Linked DNA regions of Caenorhabditis elegans. The protein of the gene in region 1 purifies or fractionates together with the protein of each later gene. This does not show direct contact. Each region holds a gene or a part of one and is shown in the gene's direction. Other genes may lie near its edges. The genes, in order: tbb-6 and ufm-1.

Region 1 (4,575 bases):
TATTATGGAACTCAAAAGCATCACCGGAAGAACAACGAACTGTAAGTGAGATTATTTTAACAAATTTCCCGGCTTAAAACGTTTACAATTCTAACTTCTTTTTTTAGATAATGGAAGGCCTTGGTCATGTACATCGTCTTCAATGCACTCACCTAATTGAGAATAGCACACTGATTCCTAAACTACAAGAAATTAAATTTGACTTTGCAATTCATGAAGTATTCGATTCTTGTGGAGTCGGTATTCTTGAGGTAATCGGTGTACAGAAGACTGTTATTGTATCATCAACTGGACCAATGGATGTTGTCCCAATTACACTTGGAATATCTGATACATTGAACACTCCATGTTAGTTTGACACAGAATGGAAATGATTTACTATGAAACCAATTTCAGCTCTATTATCGGATTATGGAAGTTACCTATCATTTTTTGAAAAACGAAGAAATCTCAAGTTTCTATCTGGAATGCTCAATTTCCACGAAATGCAGGACTCAATGATATCTCCGCTTTTCAAAAAATATTATGGATTGAAAAAACCTACTGGTGAAATAATGAGACAAGCAAATTTATTGTTTTATAATATTCATGAAGGATCAGATGGAATGAGAATGAGAGGACGAAGAAGTTTTGATATTGGAGGGATTGCTTTTAAGGATCAAAAGAATTTGACTATGGTATTTTGCCTTTTTGCAAATTTTTTGAATAGCGCCTGAAGCAGTTTGCAAGCTTTACAATAAGATTATGGTGGTATTGATTTTTAATTCAGGAGTATCAAACTCTTCTCTCTGATCCTCGTCCTAAAGTGCTCGTATCATTTGGTACTGCAGCCACATCATCTCATATGCCTCAAAATTTGAAAAATTCGTTGATGACTGCAATGAAACAAATGAACAATGTTTTGTTCATATGGAAATATGAAATGGAAGATAATTTCACAAAACAGGAGGAGCTCACAACAAATATAATTTTCAAAAAGTTTTTGCCGCAGACTGATTTATTAGGTGAGTGATTTTCAGTACTTTTATAAAGTCGTTTTTGAAAAATTCCAGCTAGCAGCAAAATTGACCTGTTTGTTACCCATTGTGGCCAGAACAGCTTACTTGAAGCATTTAATTCTGGAGTTCGAGTGTTAGCAGTTCCACTATTTGGAGACCAACACCGAAATGCAAAGCTTGCCTTTGAAAATGGATTAATTGAAATTCTTCCGAAATCTGACATCGAAACTCCGGCGAAAATTGTGAAAGCCGTCAAAACAGGACTGGAACCGAATGCAAAGTATAAAATATTTTCAGAGTGATTTCAATTGTTCCTAATTTCAGACTGGATCAAAACATTGTTCTTATTTCTTCTCTTTTAAGAAATTCGAAAGAAAACGCCGAGAACCTACTGATTTCCACAATCGAAGCTACATATTCAACAGAGTTTCCACCGAATTTTTCCAAATTTCCAAAAAACTATCACCCAAATACCTTGGTTCGACTAATTGATTCATCGATTGCTTTAGTTTTTATGCTTTTTATTTTTGTTTTTGTAAACCATTTTAGAAAAAACTATGTAGGATTTAAATATCCATTGAGTTTTTCAACAAAATAAAAAAAATGTGATAATTGTTCTACAACAATTCATCTTTAAATGTAATTTTTCTACTTTTATCCCGTTACTGCTCAGAAAAGCTTCAATAAACGTTCATTCCAGTTGGACTAATAGTTTTAATACCGCTTACAGTATTGTAAACTTGAGTGTAGACTTCTAGTTCCCCGAAAACGAGGAGACTATGTCAATCGTTGGAACTTGTATCATGCAAAAAAGATTTCGAAATACCAAGATCAAAATACTAATAACATTTGTTTTGAAATCTCAAGTTTTGCATACTCACTTTAAACAAACTTTTATACAGGTTAACTAGATTATTTAGGGGAATCAGTTGATGGTTGAGTCGTGACTTAACATCTGTCTACTGTTTGTGTGCCTTTGATCTTTTTCCGTGAAATGAAAACAACTTATTTTGTGTTTTGTGTTCAGTTTTCCGCAGTTTTCTTGCAGATCAATTTCGCAATAGACTATATTTCGCAATAGGGAATAGGTATTTAAAGAGAGGTAAACATAATTTTTTCTAATTTTTTTAAAAATATTAATTTTCTGTTTCTTCAGTTAACACATGTAAGAGACACAATGCTGAGCAAATTTACCATTTTTCAAACTGGGTACACACATTACTTAATATGTTTCACTTTTATTTGGTTAAAAAACATAATTGTGTTTCAAATCCCTCAATTGCAGAGAACAATGAAAGAAATTATTAACGTTCAAGTTGGACAATGTGGAAACCAGATTGGAGCCAAATTCTGGGAATACATATCGGAAGAGCACGGTCTTCAAACTGACGGGACATACAAAGGAGATAATGGTTCCCAGCTTGAACGTATAACTTCCTATTATAAGGAGATGGAAGGTGAGGGAATTAAGAAAATCGTTGTTCCTTCTACTTCTGTTTTGAACATATTTAAGGTCGAAAGTATGTTCCTCGTGCGATTTTGGTAGATCTTGATCCCGAATCCATCAATTATGTCCGTTCTACACAATATGGAAAGCTGTTTGATCCGGAAAATGCGGTCAGTGGAGAAAGTGGAGCTGGAAATAATTGGTCAAGGGGATATTACGAGCAGGGAGCTGAAATCGTTGATAAGGTTCTTAGCGTAATCCGCCGAGAAGCAGAAGCTGCTGACAGTCTGGAAGGATTTCAACTTATTCACTCATTGGGTGGAGGTACTGGATCTGGATTAGGATCTCTACTCATCTCAAAGCTCCGAGAAGAGTATTCTGATAAAACCCTGAGCACGTGCTCAATCATTCCATCTGCTAAAGTTTCGGATACGGTTGTCGAGCCATATAATGCAATTCTCTCCATGCCCCATCTCATGGATAATTGTGACGAGAACTTCTGCATCGATAATGAAGCAATCTTCGACATCTGTCAATACAATCTCAAACTTGAAAATCGCGTAACATACGGTGATTTGAATCATCTTGGTAAGACTGGAGAGCTGAGGTTTTATTAGTTAATTTCAGAATCATTCTGTACAACTTACTGTTTCAGCGTCTCTTGCATTATCTGGAATAACAACTTTCCAAAGATTCAAAGGAAATCTGAAAACGGATATTCGCAAGCTCAACACTGCAGGTTCACCTCGCCTTCATTTCTTCATGACTTCATTCGCTCCAGTATATGGAAAAGGAATTATAGATTGTCAGGCATTCAGTATTTCTGATCTTACCCAACAAGTTCTCGATGCCAAGAATATAATGACTTGTAACCATAATCAGGGAAAATTCTTGTCTTCTGCTATTATTTACCGTGGTCAACAGACTGAGAAGAAGGATGCTGAACAAATCATCAGTGTGGAAAATGAAGATCCATCTGAAATGATTGAGTCTTTACCAAAGAGCACAAATACCGATGTCTGTGATATTCCATCGAGAGGACTCAAGACATCTGCTACTTTCATTGCAAACTCCACTGCAATCCAGGAACCACTCAAACGTATTTCTAAGCAGTTTGCAGGTGAGATTTCATAAGTTTAGAAGTTAGAGCAAATTGTATGAAACTACTCTACAGGCCTGTTCCGTCGCAAAGCATTCCTTCATTGGTACACGATGGAAGAGTCGGAGTTCACTGACGCCGAGAACAAAGTGAATGATCTTATCTCGGAGTTCCAACAATATGAGAAAGTTCATTCAGCCTAACTTCTCCGTGTTGAGATTTCAGTTTGATATCGAAAAAATTTTCTTAAATGATTACCAAATATAGTGGGAAACCACATCAGATAATGAACAATATTATACGTTGAATTATAATCGTTTCAGATATTTATTGATTGAAACATTCATAGGCAGAGTTAAACGAGAAAAAGCCCGAAGGCAGGAAATAATAATCATTTATTATTTAGTGTTTCAGATTATTTGGTGATTTAGATCTATTTTCTCATTCGGCAGTGATCTTCACGATGACTTCACCTTGCTGTGCTCCAGCTTTGAATGGTGCTTGAGGATCAGTCTCATCGGCTGGCACTTCAGCATATTGAATGACAAGCTTGTCAACTTTTGGTGGTCCAGCAATACGATTGATATCCAACTTGGTTTTTCCCTTCGGATCAATGAATCCGTAGACGGGACGAACACGGTAGTGCTCATTGTTCGACGATTTCACCTTGAATGCCAAACGAGAATCCGACTCCGAGACGATGTTGTGAACCGAATTACCTCCAGATGCAGGGAAGTTTCCAGTTGGTGGGTCGACGTTGATCATTCTTCAAAACGACGGTAATGGTCTTCAACTTCAAAAGAAGGGAATAAATCGTTTTAATCAATTTTGCCAGAATGTTGACATTTAGATAACCTTTACTGATAAAATAATCAGGCTACGTGAATGATGTGGAAAATTTAAATTTAAAAAACAATTAAACAAGAATTTGAATTATTTTTAGTTTCTATTTTTCTACTCGTTGTTTCATCATGTGGGCGTTCTTCTTCCTGTGGTTAGTTCAATTTTATTGTCAACTCGAAATATGTTCT
Region 2 (3,278 bases), on another chromosome or scaffold:
GTGCATCTACCAAATACGATGTAATATCTACTGGGAATCCCATATGACTCCAGTCATAGCGATGAATGAGAACTTGGTAGAAATCACGCGTAAGAAGATGCTTTTCGCTAAAAAAAAATTTAAAATCAGAATAGCAGAAATTTATTGCTACTTACTTTTGTTGACTTCTTTTTTCATGTAATCTACATGGAAAAGAGCAAACAACGACTCCTTTGTAAGCAAATGTTTTGTGAATGAAAATCTGCAATTTAATATTTTTGCAAAATAACTGGATTGAGTCAACCAACTTGTCCAGCTTCAAATGTTGGTTTATTAGTTGATGGCAAGAGAAGTCCAATTTCTTTCAATATTGGCGTTGTGGCGCTTCTGAATCTTAAAAATGATGATTATCGAGTCTGAAATCATCTATAAATTACCTTGACAGTAAGACTTTCCCAGCGGAAAAGTTTCTTACACTGTGCTGAATAGCACTTCGAAGTTTCATATCTGAAATTGTTGGAATAAACATGAATTTTTTCAGATTTTTTGAGTAACAACGGGAATAAACCACGGAATCATAGATGTCAGGAAATACAAATATAACAACTTTAATTAAATTTATGCAAAAATTCTACACGAAAAATACTGAATATCACCTAGAAAAATGGAATTAAATGAAATTTTAAAAAGAACAAACAAACAGGAATAAATTATTTTCTTGGTTTCATCCCCTTATGAATCGAGCACACTCCAAATGTCAAATTCTCGTATCGAACATTACTAAAGCCTTCTTCTCTAATTATTCTTGCAAACTCGTCTTGATTCGGGAATTTACGAATACTCTCAACCAAATATTGATAACTGGCACGATCACTGGCAAGAATTTCTCCAAGAACCGGGATCACATTGAAGGAGTATGCATCGTAAATTGGTTTCAGTGCAGAATTCACTTCTGAGAACTCCAAAATAGCAAGTTGACCTCCAGGTTTGAGTACACGAAAAGCTTCACGAACAACCTTTTCAGGGTGTGTACAATTTCTGATTCCGAAGGACATTGTGAACAGATCGTAAGTGTTCGACTCAAATGGCATTTGCTCGGCGTTAGCGCATACCCATTCCGCGCGAGATGGTTGGATCTGAAGTAATACATTAAGGATATGGAATTTTTTCAAAAACAATTACATCTCTCTCCTTCTCCGCTCGTTTTTTTCCAACATCGAGCATTGGTTGATTAATATCGGAAACTGTCACTTTTGCGGTAGGCGAATGTCTGAGAATTCTGAAAGCGATATCCCCGGTTCCTCCTGCCATATCCAGACATTTCGCATTATACGGTACTTGCAGGCCACCAACATAATAGTCTTTCCATAATCGGTGAACTCCCATGCTCATTGCATCATTCATCAAATCGTACTTTTTCGCGACGTTTGCGAAGACGTGGTGAACTAAAAAAAGACATATAGTATCAGTAAATTATATAGATGTGTTGGAAAAGGGCTTATTTTATGTAGAGAACTTTGTGATTATTATTTGTGGCTATCAGCTTTTTTACGTTTCTGAATCGAACAGCTAACCTTTCTGCTCCTTCTCTGCCTCATCAACGTCAGTGAATCCAAAATGTGTTTTCTTTCCGGGCTCTGACCGTTTATTATCTGAATTGACTTGATTCACCGAAAACTGCCGGAAATTTCCAACGTTCGTAGGTTTTCTCATGCTTTTAAATAAGTTTGTTGCTCCTTTCATTCTGAAAATAAATGAGTTTTAATTCGGACAAAAGATGAGAAAATTTTGAGAACTTAATTGCGAAGTTGAATGATAAATTAAGTGATAAAAATCACGATACTCTGAAAGTTCTTGCAAGAAATATTCTACCGCATTTTCCCGTGGAGATTCCTAGGCCATCACTCCATAATGAATTTTGAAGAGACGTATTTCTCGTTTTTGTGGTATTTGTACACTAAATACTAGCGTTCGAACTACAATCTTCATTTAAATTTCACTCGAACTTTAACATATGAAAAATAATTGAATTATATTATAGTTCTTGATCACGCCATCACTGGCCTAGGTTCCGTCAAGTGGCCGAGTTTTGTAAGAGACACTTGGCATTTTTCCAGTTTTTCTCTCCTATTGTTTTTCAGTTTTTCAGGTTATTTTGTGCATTTCTGTTATGTCCTTTTCTTTATCAATTTGTTCGACTTTTTAAAAAACAATTTTTCAAACAAACTGGACGATTATTATTGATTTTATGCGAGAGATTTTCAGGAATGTCGGGTGGAACAGCAGCAACAACTGCCGGTTCCAAGGTGACCTTCAAAATCACTCTAACAAGTGATCCGAAGCTCCCATTCAAGGTGTAAGTTTTTATATTTAAATTTTCGGTTTACTTTTGATTTGGAGTTTTGCGTCATGCATTAATTTTTCAGCCTCTCCGTGCCGGAAAGTACCCCATTCACCGCCGTTCTCAAGTTTGCCGCTGAAGAATTCAAGGTCCCTGCGGCTACATCAGCAATCATTACGAACGACGGAGTTGGCGTCAATCCAGCTCAACCTGCCGGAAACATTTTTTTGAAGCACGGAAGTGAACTTCGTCTGATTCCACGTGATCGCGTCGGCCATTGAGCATAAGCCAATTGTTGTCTACATTCCTGTATTATGACATAATTATTTTTACAAAATGTGATGTCTCTGTGCATTTCTATCCTAAACTCGCTAAGTCAGATTTGAATATCTAAATTCTTCTAAATATTAATTTATTGAAATTCCCCTTTCCAAAGTACGCTATGAAGCTTTTTTCTCAAACTTGTTCAATCAATTTATCAATACTGGTTGCTCTTCCGCATTTTATCTTACTTTTTTAAAACTACTTTACTTTTAGTCTTATATTATTTTATTTAAGATGAAGCTCTCCCCAGCTACCAAGTCTTTCATCGGTAAGACAGTCGATATTTCCACATTTGCAATCCAATGGGGATTCGTGCCGTTTGTGGTCTACCTTGGATTTAAGAAAGGCGCTGAGCCAATGCCAAATGGACAGGTAAAAACTAGAAAAAGAAACATTTAGTTTTAAAATCACGTCTCCGAGAGAGCGTAATAAATAAAAAATGCGTCCCATAATACACAAGATTCAAACATTTATATAGATACCGCATTTTCTTTACAAGTTTCTCGTTGTGTAAATAGAACAATTGCATGCGAGACGCTGCCAATTATTTTTTAATTTATTTGTCAAAAGTTTAAGTTTTACCAAAAACACCTATGCTTTCAATTCAAAGATTTAAGAATTCATATTTCAGATC

The links.
Region 2: the proteins of tbb-6 (region 1) and ufm-1 fractionate together in Caenorhabditis elegans (co-fractionation; one large-scale study listed by BioGRID). This does not show direct contact.

What each region holds. Positions count from the first base shown.
Region 1 is NC_003283.11:12,259,515-12,264,089, forward strand, and holds tbb-6 (Tubulin beta chain), read left to right. Parts: upstream 1-2,016; 5' UTR 2,017-2,100; intron 2,101-2,283; 5' UTR 2,284-2,289; coding exon 2,290-2,455; intron 2,456-2,511; coding exon 2,512-3,033; intron 3,034-3,100; coding exon 3,101-3,565; intron 3,566-3,619; coding exon 3,620-3,747; 3' UTR 3,748-3,854; downstream 3,855-4,575. Other genes in the region: Putative UDP-glucuronosyltransferase ugt-56, read left to right, coding at 1-41, 108-348, 397-677, 770-1,004, 1,053-1,278, 1,323-1,596; ssp-35 (MSP domain-containing protein), read right to left, coding at 3,986-4,309.
Region 2 is NC_003281.10:7,856,735-7,860,012, forward strand, and holds ufm-1 (Ubiquitin-fold modifier 1), read left to right. Parts: upstream 1-2,244; 5' UTR 2,245-2,246; coding exon 2,247-2,335; intron 2,336-2,405; coding exon 2,406-2,601; 3' UTR 2,602-2,778; downstream 2,779-3,278. Other genes in the region: tag-307 (ApaG domain-containing protein), read right to left, coding at 1-107, 156-241, 288-372, 417-508; coq-5 (2-methoxy-6-polyprenyl-1,4-benzoquinol methylase, mitochondrial), read right to left, coding at 690-1,115, 1,162-1,424, 1,554-1,722; tomm-7 (Mitochondrial import receptor subunit TOM7 homolog), read left to right, coding at 2,879-3,016, 3,276-3,278. UniProt on the Caenorhabditis elegans protein: Ubiquitin-like modifier which can be covalently attached via an isopeptide bond to substrate proteins as a monomer or a lysine-linked polymer.